Stegostoma tigrinum: one gene and its partner. The protein of the gene in region 1 binds, or shares a complex with, the protein of each later gene. Links are inferred from orthologs where the notes say so. Each region holds a gene or a part of one and is shown in the gene's direction. Other genes may lie near its edges.

What was found.
Region 2: the proteins of kif15 (region 1) and kifbp are in contact, whole or in part, in a cryo-EM structure (PDB 6ZPH), measured with the Homo sapiens proteins. The link is inferred for Stegostoma tigrinum from reciprocal best matches to the Homo sapiens genes KIF15 and KIFBP. Residues at the interface, in NP_064627.1 of Homo sapiens: Leu187, Glu189, Ile191, Lys192, Lys193, Arg231, Glu232, Arg235, Arg271, Met280, Arg281, Leu282, Lys283, Glu284, Ala285, Gly286, Asn287, Asn289, Arg290, Leu292, Ser293, Gly296, Gln297, Ile299, Ala301, Val303, Asp304, Val305, Gly306, His312; in NP_056449.1 of Homo sapiens: Lys26, Tyr33, Lys36, Ile106, Glu109, Ile147, Ser150, Glu151, Glu153, Thr208, His209, Tyr212, Tyr213, Gln216, Gln219, His220, Phe224, Gln238, Glu248, Trp249, Ile251, Asn252, Thr255, Gln258, Phe259, Asn262, Tyr415, Val416, Thr417, Glu421.

What each region holds. Positions count from the first base shown.
Region 1 is NC_081355.1:8,298,214-8,305,670, reverse strand, and holds the start of kif15 (kinesin-like protein KIF15), read left to right. Parts: upstream 1-4,316; 5' UTR 4,317-4,442; coding exon 4,443-4,461; intron 4,462-7,457. Other genes in the region: uncharacterized protein KIAA1143 homolog, read right to left, coding at 3,931-4,038. UniProt on the Homo sapiens protein: Plus-end directed kinesin-like motor enzyme involved in mitotic spindle assembly.
Region 2 is NC_081373.1:57,846,548-57,854,281, reverse strand, and holds the start of kifbp (KIF-binding protein), read left to right. Parts: upstream 1-4,480; 5' UTR 4,481-4,503; coding exon 4,504-4,857; intron 4,858-7,734. UniProt on the Homo sapiens protein: Activator of KIF1B plus-end-directed microtubule motor activity. Required for organization of axonal microtubules, and axonal outgrowth and maintenance during peripheral and central nervous system development.

The sequences.
Region 1 (7,457 bases):
GGTTAGAGACGGCATGGATTTACAAAGGGGAAATCGTGCTTGACTAATAATCTGGAATTTTTTGAGGATCTATCTATGAAGATAGACAAGGGAGAGCCAGTGGATGTAGTGTACCTGGACTTTCAGAAAGCTTTTAATAAAGTCCCGCATAGGAGATTAGTGAGCAAAATTAAGGCACATGATATTGGGGGAAAAATACTGAGTTGGATTGAAAATTGGCTGGCTGGCAGGAAGCAAACAGTAGTGATAAACAGGTCCTTTTTGGAATGGCAGGCGGTGACCAGTGGGGTACCACAAGGTTCGGTGCTGGGACCACAGCTGTTTACAATATATATTAATGATATAGACGAAGGCATTAAAAGTAATATTAGCAATTTTGCTGATGACACAAAGCTGGGTGGCAGGATGAAATGTGACGAGGATGCTATGAGAATACAGGGTGACTTGGACAGACTAGGTGAGCGGACGGATGCATGGCAGATGCAGTTTAATGTGGATAAATGTGAGGTTATCCACTTTGGTGGCAAGAGCAGGAAGGCAGATTACTACCTAAATGACGTCAAGTTAGGTAAAGGGGAAGTACAACGAGATCTAGGTGTTCTTGTCAATGAAAGCAAGCATGCAGGTACAGCAGGCAGTGAAGAAAGCTAATGGCATGCTGGCCTTCATAACAATTGAGTATGGGAGCAGAGAAGTGCTTCTGCAGCTGTACAGGGCCCTGGTGAGACCACACCTCGCGTATTGTATGCAGTTTTGGTCTCCAAATTTGAGGAAGGACATTCTTGCCATTGTGGGAGTGCAGCATAGGTTCACAAGGTCAATTCCCAGAATGGCAGGACTATCATATGTTTAAAGATTGGAGCAACTGGGCTTGTATACACTTGCGTTTAGAAGGATGAGAGGGGATCTGATTGAGACGTATAAGATTATTAAGGGATTGGACACTGTGGAGGCAGGAAGCAGGTTTCCGCTGATGGGTGAATCCAGAACCAGAGGACACAGTTTAAAAATAAGTGGTAGGCCATTTAGAACAGAGTTGAGGAAAAACTTCTTCACCCAGAGAGTGTGGATATATGGAATGCTCTGCCCCAGAAGGCAGTGGAGGCCAACTCTCTGGATACTTTCAAGAAAGATGGATAGAGTTCTTAAAGATAGTGGAATAAAGGGTTATGGGGATAAGGCAGGAACAGGATACTGATTGTGGATGATCAGCCATGATTATAATGAATGGTGGCGCTGGCTCGAAGGGCCTACTCCTGCACCTATTGTCTATTGAGGTTTGGAACACACCGTTGGTCATACAATCAACTTCAACATCCAGAAACAGAAGTTGACTGTTGTTTCCTTCTTCCCTTGTGAATTTAATCCCTGCGAATACATTGCTGTTTTCAATTTTGAAACAGTTTGCCTCCACGATTTGTGCCTTTCCAAAAAAAAAACAGGTGCGCTTTCTTCTTATTGGTTTATCGAGAAAAAGCATTTGTAGATACAGTAGGTTTAATCATTCAGGTCAATAACCTTCTGTCCAAAATCTGAACAGCTAAACTTATCTTTACCTCCTTACAGAAGCTGACCCCCTGGGCGTTTATAGAATTTTAAAAAATAATTTGACAAAGGAATTTATTTGATTACATTAGTGGTTTTTAAAAGCTCTGGGAAAATTTGAAATTGCTTACAATGCTTTACTGGTGGCTGCAGGGGAGCTTAGAAGCAGAAAGCTACAGCTATAGCTCATGCAGCACAGAGAGCTAGCAGCCACACCAAGGAGTGTACATGATATGGTATTAAAGTGACACAAAGTAATCATAAATTTGTTACAGCACAGAAGGTGGTTATTCAGCTCATTGTGTCAATACTGGCACCAAATGAATTGCTCGTTTGGACAGCCATTTTCCTTAACTTTGAATATTGTTCCTTTTCATATTCACAACTGAACAGCTTCACACACCCTCAACAGCACATTTCAGAATTTAAAAATCACAGTGAGAAAAATCTATTCCTCACATTGCTTCTGCTTCCGTTATCAATTTCTTCAAATCTGTGACCTGTTTTAATCTCTCCCTATTCAACTTAGTCCAAACCCGTCGCGATTTTGTACACCGCTGTCAAATCTCGTTTCAGTTTCTTGTCCCAAAATAAATAGCTCAACTTCTCAAATCTATTTTAATTCAAATTCCTCATCCGTGGAACCATTCTTGTGAGCGCCTACATCTTTACGAACAATTTCATATTGTATTATAATGGAATTTAGTGAGGTGGGCAATCCTGATACAAAAATGAGTTTGAACCACTGCACGACAATATAGGAAGAGACCACTCGGCCCATTGTGTCTGTGACAGCTCTTCAACCGAACTTTCCAGCCAACCCGATTTCCTCTACTCTTCTACCATTTCCTTGTAAAATGGAGTCTATTCCTACTTTAACACGGGTATTTTAAGGGGCAGGAGCTTGTAACAACCAGCTTGTAACTGATGTCCATTTCAAGCCCAACCAGCTTGTAACTGATGTCCATTTCAAGCCCACCGACTCCCACAGCTACCTAGAATACACCTCCTCCCACCCACCCTCCTGCAAAAATTCCATCCCCTATTCCCAATTCGTCCGCCTCCGCCGCATCTGCTCCCACGATAAGACATTCCACTCCCGCACATCCCAGATGTCCAAGTTCTTCAAGGACCGCAACTTTCCCCCCACAGTGATCGAGAACGCCCTTGACCGCGTCTCCTGTATTTCCCACAACACATCCCTCACACCCCGCCCCCGCCACAACCACCCGAAGAGGATCCCCCTCGTTCTCACACACCACCCTACCAACCGGATACAATGCATCATCCTCTGACACTTCCGCCATTTACAATCCGACCCCACCACCCAAGACATTTTTCCATCCCCTCCCCTGTCTGCTTTCCGGAGAGACCACTCTCTCCGTGACTCCCTTGTTCGTTCCACACTGCCCTCCAACCCCACCACACCCGGCACCTTCCCCTGCAACCGCAGGAAATGCTACACTTGCCCCCACACCTCCTCCCTCACCCCTATCCCAGGCCCCAAGATGACATTCCACATTAAGCAGAGGTTCACCTGCACATCTGCCAATGTGGTATACTGCATCCACTGTACCCGGTGTGGCTTCCTCTACATTGGGGAAACCAAGCGGAGGCTTGGGGACCGCTTTGCAGAACACCTCTGCTCAGTTCGCAACAAACAACTGCACCTCCCAGTCGCAAATCATTTCCACTCCCCCTCCCATTCTCTAGATGACATGTCCATCATGGGCCTCCTGCACTGCCACAATGATGCCACCCGAAGGTTGCAGGAACAGCAACTCATATTCCGCCTGGGAACCCTGCAGCCCAATGGTATCGATGTGGACTTCACCAGTTTCAAAATCTCCCCTTCCCCTACTGCATCCCTAAACCAGCCCAGTTCGTCCCCTCCCCCCACTGCACCACACAACCAGCCCAGCTCTTCCCCCCCACCCACTGCATCCCAAAACCAGTCCAACCTGTCTCTGCCTCCCTAACCTGTTCTTCCTCTCACCCATCCCTTCCTCCCACCCCAAGCCGCACCTCCATCTCCTACCTACTAACCTCATCCCACCTCCTTGACCTGTCCGTCTTCCCTGGACTGACCTATCCCCTCCCTACCTCCCCACCTATACTCTCTCCACCTATCTTCTTTACTCTCCATCTTCGGTCCGCCTCCCCCTCTCTCCCTATTTATTCCAGTTCCCTCCCCCCATCCCCCTCTCTGATGAAGGGTCTAGGCCCGAAACGTCAGCTTTTGTGCTCCTGAGATGCTGCTTGGCCTGCTGTGTTCATCCAGCCTCACATTTTATTATTTTAAGGGGTAACAGGCCAGACCAGCGCAAGGAATGAGGTTTGGCCAAAGACTTTGGGGGGGGGAAGGAACTGAAGGGTCGGACTGACCTTGGTTTCCACGGTCGGCCCAGACTTGTAACCCACATCTTCCTTAAATTTCCTGAGGAAGGCGGGTTCGGCCGGCTTCACGTACGAGATGTTGCTTCTTTTACTCATTTTTTTTCGGTCATGTGCGTGTTTATGGAAACAACAGCCGCTTCCATCAAAACGCAGATTTTGATGACGTTGAAAGCCAATGGAACACAAGCATGTAGGGAGAGAAACACAAATACACACCGTTTCATCACGTGACACAAAGGACAGCAATCGCGCCCTTTATATTTGCCCTTCCCCTCCTCCCCGCCCAGCCATCGTCCCATAGCTCCAGGGGTTACGTCACGCGTATTGCCCCACCCCTGAGTACCACGTGGTCTTTGTTGGCGCCGAAATTCAAACCAAACTGGCGGCCGCCATTTTGAGGCAATGTTTACAGTGTGAAGGTGAAAAGTGATTTAATTTGTCTACTTTAAATCGAAAGGACTCTGGTTGTATTCCTATACATATATAAAGAGACAGGAAAAATGCCTCCAACTGGTAAAGGTTAGTGCTTGATCTGCGTTTTTCACCCTTTGTGTGCAATCACCTCCTCTCTCCCGGTAATTATTGCTGTGACAGGATTAATATATAAACTCAAAGATGATAAGACATAGGAACAAAAATTAGGCCTTTCGGCTCATCGAGCCTGCTCCGCCATTCAACCATGGCTGATAAGCTCCTCAATCCCATTCTCGTGCTTTCTCCCCGTAACCCTTGATAATCAAGAACCTATCTATCTAGTTATCTGCCCAGAAAGGCGATTAATTAATAGATAACGCACAAACAAAACTGATAAAATTCACCCTACGCCCCAGGATGAAAATTGTCTGCCCACCCAAAGGTTTTGTGTTTATAAACCGCCTTTAGTCTAGTAAACACTCAAACCTGAAACAACAACGTTATCTGATTAAATGTCATCAACCAGCTGCGACTAAAAAAAAGACCAAAAACAAGTCCTTTTTTTAAAGTTTTGTGATTGTTGTTATTAACACTTTTTCCTGTGATTCCCGTGCTTATGGATCCAATGTTACCACCTCTGTATTTAAAGGTGGGAAGGTTTGTTTAATTTTGAATAATTTCCTGCATTGGAAAATTAAAGCTAAGCGATCATAGCCTTCTGTTAATTTACATTTCAACGGCCAATGCTTGCCTTTCAAAGTTGCCCCAAATGAGTGTCCAGCAATGTGTTTGACTGGCAATGGCCAATCACTTACATTTACTCTTCATATTTACTTTCATTAGTTAGGCTGAAAGCTCAAGATAATAATGATAGTGATGAAAACAGGACCTGGGATATGCATGGATAGCACAAACAGTCCTTGTATCAGCGTAGTAGGCTGCATAATTGTAGTGTTACTGACGACTAGTAATACAAAAGACAAGCCAATATCCAGGTCAGAGATAATGGGAACTGCAGATGCTGGAGAATCCAAGGTAACAAAGTGTGGAGCTGGATGAACACAGCAGGCCAAGCAGCATCTTAGGACCACAAAAGCTGATGTTTCGGGCCTAGACCCTTCATCAGAGAGGGGGATGGGGAGATCCCAAAACCAGCCCAGCTTGTCCCCGCCTCCCTAACCTGTTCTTCCTCTCACCTATCCCCTCCTCCCACCTCAAGCCGCACCGCCTTTCCCTACCTACTCACCCCATCCCGCCTCCTTGACCTGTCCGCCCGCCCTACCTCCCCACCCATACTTTCCTCTCCATCTTCGGTCCGCCTCCCTATTTATTTCAGAACCCTCTCCCCGTCCCCCTCTCTGATGAAGGGTCTAGGCCCGAAACGTCAGCTTTTGTGCTCCCGAGATGCTGCTTGGCCTGCTGTGTTCATCCAGCTTCACACTTTGTTAACCAATATCCAAGTTACATGGTTTTGAATCCCTCAAGGTCAAATGTGAAATTTGAGTTCAATAAAATCTGAAATCAAGAGCTGGCCTCATGGTTACCATGTAATCATCATTAATGTTGTAAAATTGCATCTGATTCACTTATGTACTTTAAGGAAGGAAATCTGTCATTCTTACCTGGTCTAACCTACATAATTTCAGTCCCACAGCAATGTGGTTGACTCTTAAGTGCCTTCTGGGCAATTAGGTGAGAACTAAATGCTGATCAAGCCACAATGTCCACATCCTGGGAATGAATAAAACAATTCAGATTGAATGATTGTCAATAAACAGCCTAAAGATGAGAAAGAAGGTGAATTTGAAATTAGTATAAAATTAGGGTAAGGAAAGGAAATAAAGTGAGAAAGAAAACTTGAATTTATGCAAGGACAAAATAAACAAAAGAAAGGTAATTTTGTAAAACCTTTACTTTTTTAATATCTCTGACAATTGAACTCTGAAGGAATAAGATTCTGCAATTGTATTAATTTATTTGCAGTATCAGGGAAGTTGACTGTCAGTAATTTATACTTATCACATTGATTACAAGGTACTTAGACAAGTGAGCAAGTCATCACTGGTGAGTTTAGTCTGTATGTGTTGTAAGTACAGTGCACTTCACACCGATAACACAATTAGTAAGGGGATTAAATGTAGATCATTTCAGTCAGTAATAATTAGATTCCATATTTAACCTCTGATTTGCCCCTACCTGGCATTGCTCCAGTAATTGTGCATAGCTAAGAGAGAGATATTAACACTGCCCATAATTTTAATGGTAGTTTATATGCCAGATATTTTCTAATTTAAGTTCAGAAATGTTATTACCAACCTCCAAAACCAGGGGGACTTGAACCTAGACCTCCTGGCTCAGAGTATGAGTGCTTCACAAGAATCTTCTCAATTTATGTACACAAACCTCCTGGGACAGGTGTATGTGGTGTTTTAGTATTGCCACTGCTTTCATATGCTAGAAAACCAATTATGGATGCCTAATTTGTCCATTTGTTTGTTTCCAGAAATGCAAGTGGTAAAATGAAATGTGCTTTGCAAACAGATCTCATTGGGCTGGTTCATAGAGTCATGCAGCATGGAAACAGACCCGTTGGTCTAAATTGTCCATGCCAAACATAATCCCAAAATGAACTGTCCCATCTGCTTGCTCCTGGCTCATATCCCTCCAAATCCTTCCTGTTCATGTACTTATCTAAGTGTTTTTTAAACATAATTATACCCACATCCATAGAAAGTTAATTCCATGCTCTGTGTAAAAAAAATTGCCATTTTTTTTAACTCTCCGTCCTCTCATCTTAAAAATGTGCCCCCAGTCTTGAAGTCCCCCATTCTAGAGAAAAGACAACTACCACTAACTCTATTTATATCTGTCATTATTTTATGAACATCTATAAGGTTGCCCCTCAACTTAGTATATAATATCTTCCAGTGTCTTGTATGCATGGCCGCATTGCATTTCAGCTTATCCTTTAATTTCTTCTTGCAGCAATGCATCAAGCCATCTTCAGTGGCATCTTCCAAACATGTGGCCCTGCCAACCAAGAGGGTCAAAGTAACAGATGCTTGGGAACATCACACTAACAAGTTCTCTAAATTATGCAC
Region 2 (7,734 bases), on another chromosome or scaffold:
TTATAAAATTGTATTAGTTATTAAGTTATTACTTTTTAAAGATCCTTGGATTTACTGGTCCCAATGAGATACCACTTATTCCTCCTCCTAATGTGAATCTTGGTGGTTTCAGTACCCTTTGTTGCTGCCTCTAGTTGCCATATAAGCCCTGTCTAACCTGCCTCCTCTGCAAGAGAATGCTGTTGTTTTCCTCTTTTCTCGATCTATGGCCCATATACATCACTATTACATGCTCTTTAATTTAAAAGCTTCAGCTGCAGCTTTATGAAAATAGGGTTCACTTCTTTGTGCTCCTTGACAATTAAAATTTCCTTTGAGGAAGAACCAGAATGTTTTCAATGTTAGGTCAAGGGTTTGTCAAAGAATTCTTCACTTCTGAGAGGCTCCTATTATTTAAATTACAAAACATTCAAGCAACATCTCCAAAACAGCAAAATTTAACCTTTTGGCTCCTTTGTCCTGCCCTCCATGTTTGTTGTCTTCTGACCAAAGTTCCAAACTCAGCAGAATAGGTGACCCATAATTCTGGGGGAGTAAAGTCTATACCTTTCGGTGGATAGCATTATTGGGACATTACTGGTAAAATAGCTGTGACTCAGTTAAAGGAAAAAATATTATTGGATGTGGTGGATATTATAGCTTTGGTGCATCCAAGCAGGATTGATTATTCATGACTAACTTAATAGTGTAAAAGTAATCAGTTACTCCAAACACCGAATCAAAATTACAAAATAGCAGCAGACAATATTTCCAAATGTTTCATGATTTTAAACCAAGGATTAAAATCAAGCCTAAGTTATAAATTTTTACATGCCAATGGAGAAAAGCATAATTGTAGTCAACTCTACTGTTACTCTTTGGATTAGCTAAAGACTCTAGAATGAAATCCATCAGGATCTGAGGGCTTTTCAGCTTCTCATTCTAATAATTTCTTAGTATTCCTTCCTTGGGTGATTGAATTGTTTTTAAGATACTCCATCTCTTTCATTCTTTGATTTGCAATTATTCCTGGAATGTTAGTCATAAGCAAAATAACTGTTCAATTGTCTGTCATTTTCCAACTTGATTATTTCCAGAGGACCACCGCTGACACATGCTTTTCCTTTTTAAATATCTGTCTGGACTATTTTGATATTTCTCACTAGTTTTATCATGTACTGTAATTTCTCCCTTTTCTCAGTTATTCTTTGTTCATGTTCTGTCCAGTCTTCTGACCATGATCTTTACTGAATTGTAGATATTTTCTACAAATATGCATTTCATGTTTTTGCACACCTCGGAAGTAGTTGGGACTTGAACGTAGGCCTCCTGGCTTAGAGGTAGGGGCACTGCACACTGCATTAGAACAGCCCCTCTTCACAGAACTGCATTTTTTTCTTTCAATTTTGATACAATCTTTAACTACTTTGATTAGTTAAGGATGGTGTTTCATTTCTCTCGAGTCTTTCTCACTGGAATGGCTATCTTGAATGTTATGTCTGCAATTTCATCTCCACTTATCTGTACTCTAACTTCTCTCTTTTTTTCCAGGCTCTGTCTTCATACCCTTATAACTGCCCAATTTAAGTTTAAAACACTGCAGTCTTGGATACATTCTTCTCTCCCTCAAGACCAGAATTAAATCATTATAATCACTGATACCCAAGTGTACATTCCCTATGTGATTATAAATTAATCCTATCCCGTTGCACATCTGATCGAGTATAGCCTGTTCTCTGGTTAGCTCTAATTCATGCTGCTCTAAGAAACAGTTCTGAAACGTACTGAGCTCATCTCCCAGGCTACCATTTTCACTAATTCGGCTCATCTATATGTAGCTGAAAACCACCCAGGTTATTGACATTAACTTTCTCAAACTACCCATTATTTCTTTACTATTTCTTTACTCCCATCCTACGGTATGGTTATTTTTAAGAAGAATATAAAATGCTCCTACAAGTGACTTCTGACCTCTACTATTATATGTCTACCAAAAATGATTTTATATCTTTCTGTTTAGAACTAAGGTCAAGTCTTTCAATTGTACGGATCTACCTTTTCTTGACTTCATGCCCTTCCAAAAAATGTTGCGAATCCTTGTATATTCAGGTTTCAGCCTTTGCTGTCTAGCAGCCAGATCTTTGTAGCGGCTATTCAGTCATACAAATTACATCTATTAGAGCAGTCATAGAGAGGTCAGGCATGGAAACAGACCCTTTTATCCATGCTGACCAAATATCCTAAATTAATTTAGTCCCATTTGCCAATATTAGGCTTAGGAGAGCTATAAGGGGACATGAGAAAACCTTGGCAGATAGGATCAAGGAAAACTCCAAGGCTTTTTACACGTACATGATGAATAAGAGAATGACCAGACAGGGTAGGGCCGAGCAAGGATTGTAAGGGGAATTTGTGCACAGAGCCTAAAGAGATAGGAGAGTTCATTAATGAATATTTTTCTTCGGTATTCATAACCGAGAGGTACCTAGTTGGAGGAGAGGGCTGTGAAACAGTCTGGTAGGCTAGAGGAGGTCAGTGTTAGTAAGGAAGATGTACTAGGAATTTTGAGGAACTTGAAGATAGATAAGTCCCCTGGGCCTGATGGGATTTATCCAAGGATTCTGTGGGAAGCGAGGGACGAGATCGCAGGGCCTTTGATGATTTTTTTCAACCTCACTGTCCACGGGTATAATGCTGGGAGATATTAGAGTGGCAAATGTCATTCCCTTATTCAAGAAAGGGAATAGGGATAATCCTAGAAACTACAGGCCAGTTAGTCCTACTTCAGTGGTGGGCAAATTATTGGAAAGGGCTCTGAGAGATAGGATTCATGATCACTTGGATAGGCACCGTTTGATTCGTGATGGTCAGCATAGCTTTATGAGGGGTAGATCCATGCCTCTCAAACGTTATTGAATTCTTTGAAGAGGTGACCAAACACATGGATGAAGGTAGAGCAGTGAATGCGTTTGATAAGGTTCCCCATGGTAGGCTCAAGCAGCAAGTAAGAAAGCATGGGATAGGGGAAATGTGGTAGATTCAATTCAGAATTGGCTGACGCTTAGAAGACAAAGGGTGGTAATGGATGGAAAATATTCAACATGGTGCTCAATTACGATTGGTGGACCACAAGGATCTGTTCTGGGTCCGCTTCTATTTGTGATTTTTGCAAATGATTTGGATGTAGGAGTGGAAGGGTGGATTAGTAAGTTTGCGGACGATACAAGGGTGGGTCCAGTTGTGGATATGGCAGAGGGCTGTTCGAGGTTAGAAATAGGCAGTGATAGGATACAGGGCTGGGCTGAGAAGTGGCAAATGGAGTTTAACCCTGAAAAGTGTGAGGTGATTCATTTTGGAAAGACAAACTTCAAAGCCGAATACAAGGTTAACAGAACGATTCTTGGCAGTGTGGAGGAGCAGAGGGAACTTGGGGTACACATCCACAATTCCCTGAAAGCTGCCACCCAGGCGGATAAGAGTTGTTAAGGTGTATGGTGTGTAAACTTTCATTAACAGAGGGACTGAATTCAAGAGCCTTGAAGTTCTGTTCCAGCTTTACAAAAGCCTGGCTCGGCTACATCTGGAATATTGTGTCCACTTCTGGTTGCCTTGTAACAGGAATGATGTGGAAGCTTTGGAAAAGGTGCAGAGGAGATTTACCAGGATGTTGCCTGGAATGGAGGGAAGGTCTTACGAGGAAAGGTTGAGAGAGCTAGGGCTTTTCTCTTTAGAACGATGAAGAATAAGAGGTGACTTGATAGAGGTGTACAAGATGATCAGAGGTATAGATAGACAGCCAAAGTCTTTTTCCTAGGATGGAGGTAGCTATTGTGAGGGGGCATAGTTTTAAAGTGAGTGGAGGTAGATACAGAGGAGACGTCAGAGGTAGGGTCCTTGCTCAGAGTGGTCGGGGTGTGGAATGTGGTGTCAGACAGGGTAATGGAGTTGGTCTCATTAGGGGCATTTAAGTGGCTATTAGATAGGCATACGGATGATAGTATAAGGTAGGGGTGTAAGTTAGATAGGCCTGAGGATTAGGGGAAAAGTATGGCGTAACATCATGGGCCAAAGGGCCTGTACTTGAAAGACACATGGTGACCCTCAGTCTCAAAATTCTTCTTACTGTATTAAAGTGCACCACTGTAGCGCCCATCGACACAAACTATGCAGCACTTCGTTTTTTTAAAACTGCAACACTGGATTTTAGGTTATAGCAAGCCAACTTGCATTTCAGTTTCAAAAAAAAGGAAAACGTGGTCCCTTACACAAAAAACACAATTATCCGTCTGATTTTGTCTGCCCCTTAACAGTTTGATTGTGGCTCAGGTAATAAGCTACTAATCGAGGTACTGCTTTTCAATTTAACCACTAACCCTTTTATAATCCCTCAGCGAAGCCGCTTTCCTGCTCTGGGGCTTAGATGCAGCAGTCTCCCCTCCTGGCCGCCGGAAGGCGCTGTCTTTGAAGTCTGCAGTGCTTTCCGCATTCGGCGGAGGGCAGTGCTGCCCTGTAATTACGGGTAAAATGGCGGCGCAGGAAGGCGGCCTTGACAGGGCTCTGAGCGTGAGATACTCCCGGGCATTGAGGCTGTCGGAGGTAGAGTCGAAGCGGGACCCTGAGTCGGAGCCTTATCGCTCCAAGTACAAGGCTCGGGAACTGCTGAAGGAGCTGAAAGCATCGTTGGGGCCGCGGGACGATGAGCCGCTCCAGGCTGGAGACTGGCTGCAGAAAGCGGCGGTGCTCGAGCTGCAGCTCGGCCTCAACCACACGGAGACAGAGGAGCTGTCCGCCGGTGAGGAGCACCTGGCCAAGTGCATCCAGATCCTGGAACCCTTCAGGCTTAGCCCCGGGGGCGTGTCCGTCTTCCTCCAGGCCGAGGTGAGGAGGCAGCGCAGGTCTCCTGGCAACCGGAACCTGGGGGACGCAAACACAACCCCGACATGGGGCAGGTCCCTGAGATCACCCCCACAATCGGAGGATGGCATTGGACAAGGAGAGCAGAGGTTGCGGGGGTTAGGCAGGGGCGATAGGGAGGATGGGAGGTGAGGGAGCGTGACAGCCGTTTCCTGCAGTCAGTCAGACAGGGATAGGGCCAGGGATAATGGGAACTGCAGATGCTGGAGAGTCCAAGAAAATAAAATGTGAGGCTGGATGAACACAGCAGGCCAAGCAGCATCTCAGGAGCACAAAAGCTGACGTTTCGGGCCTAGACCCTTCATCAGAGACGGGGATGGGGTGAGTGTTCTGGAATAAATAAATACATCACCGAGGCCAGACGCCAACTCTCCGACACCACCTCGACCCGCCCGCTCGATCATGACCCCACACCCAAGCACCAAACCGTCATCTCCCACACTATTCATGACCTCATCACCTCAGGGGACCTCCCACCCACAGCCTCCAACCTCATTGTTCCCCAACCCCGCACGGCCCGTTTCTATCTCCTTCCCAAAATCCACAAACCTGCCTGCCCTGGTCGACCCATCGTCTCAGCCTGCTCCTGCCCTACCGAACTCATCTCCACCTATCTGGACTCCATTTTCTATCCTTTGGTCCAGGAACTCTCTACCTACGTCCGTGACACCACCCACGCCCTCCACCTCCTCCAGGACTTCCAATTCCCTGGCCCCCAACACCTCATCTTCACCATGGACGTCCAGTCCCTATACACCTGTATTCCGCATGCAGATGGCCTCAAGGCCCTCCGCTTCTTCCTGTCCCGCAGGCCCGGCCAGTCCCCCTCCACCGACACCCTCATCCGCCTTGCCGAACTTGTCCTCATCCTCAACAACTTCTCTTTCGATTCCTCCCACTTCCTACAGACTAAGGGGGTGGCCATGGGCACCCGCATGGGCCCCAGCTATGCCTGCCTCTTTGTAGGTTACGTGGACCAGTCCCTCTTCCGCACCTACACAGGCCCCAAACCCCACCTCTTCCTCCGTTACATTGATGACTGTATCGGCGCCGCCCCTTGCTCCCCAGAGGAGCTCGAACAGTTCATCGACTTCGCCAACACCTTCCACCCCAACCTTCAGTTCCCTGGGCCATCTCCAGCACATCCCTCACCTTCCTGGATCTCTCAGTCTCCATCTCAGGCAACCAGCTTGTAACTGATGTCCATTTCAAGCCCACCGACTCCCACAGCTACGTAGCATACACTTCCTCCCACCTACCCTCCTGCAAAAATTCTATCCTCTATTCCCAATTCCACCGCCTCCGCCGCATCTGCTCCCACGATGAGGCATTCCACTCCCGCACATCCCAGATGTCCAAGTTCTTGAAGGACCGCAACTTTCCCCCCACAGTGGTTGAGAACGCCCTTGACCGCGTCTCCCGCATTTCCCGCAACACATCCCTCACGCCCCACCCCCGCCACAACCGCCCAAAGAGGATCCCCCTCGTTCTCACACACCACCCCACCAACCTCCAGATACAACGCATCATCCTCCGACACTTCCGCCATCTACAATTGGACCCCACCACCCAAGACATTTTTCCAGCCCCACCCCTGTCTGCTTTCCCGAGAGACCACTCGCTCCACACTGCCCTCCAACCCCACCACACCCAGCACCTTTCCCTGCAACCGCAGGAAATGCTACACTTGCCCCCACACCTCCTCTCTCACCCCATCCCAGGCCCCAAGATGACTGTCCACATTAAGCAGAGGTTCACCTGCACATCTGCCAATGTGGTATACTGCATCCACTGTACCCAGTGTGGCTACCTCTACATTGGGGAAACCAAGCGGAGGCTTGGGGACCACTTTGCAGAACACCTCCGCTCGGTTCGCAATAAACAACTGCACCTCCCAGTCGCAAACCATTTCCACTCCCCCTCCCATTCTTTAGGTGACATGTCCATCATGGGCCTCCTGCAGTGCCACAATGATGCCACCCGAAGGTTGCAGGAACAGCAACTCATATTCCACTTGGGAACCCTGCAGCCCAATGGTATCAATGTGGACTTCACCAGCTTCAAAATCTCCCCTTCCCCCACCGCTTCCCAAAACCAGCCCAGTTCGTCCTCTCCTCCCCACTGCACCACACAACCAGCCCAGCTCTTCCCCTCCACCCACTGCATCCCAAAACCAGTCCAACCTGTCTCTGCCTCCCTAACCTGTTCTTCCTCTCACCCATCCCTTCCTCCCACCCCAAGCTGCACCTCCATCTCCTACCTACTAACCTCATCCCACCTCCTTGACCTGTCCGTCTTCCCTAGACTGACCTATCCCCTCCCTACCTCCCCACCTATACTCTCCTCCCCACCTATCTTCTTTACTCTCCATCTTCGGTCCGCCTCCCCCTCTTTCCCTATTTATTCCAGTTCCCCCACCCCATCCCCCTCTCTGATGAAGGGTCTAGGCCCGAAACGTCAGGTTTTGTGCTCCTGAGATGCTGCTTGGCCTGCTGTGTTCATCCAGCCTCACATTTTATTATCAGGGATAGGGCCAGGGCTTGCAGGGTGTGGTTCAGGAGGGGACCAGATAGTGGACAGGGCTAGAACCCATGCAGGTACCCATTGCGACACATTTTATTAAAGAAGGTGAATGGAATCACAAGAGAAGTTGTTCAACTGATAACAGATTCTGCCAGGCAGAGGAGGTCATTGGATGGGACTGATTGAGCCTCTGTTTAAGAAAAAGCCCAGAGCCCTCGGGTGTGGTGGGAGTGGAGACGCTTACTGGATGAAGAGGGAACTTGGTAATGTTGTCCCCTTGTTTAAGAAGAGTAGCAAGGATAATCCAGGTAATTATCA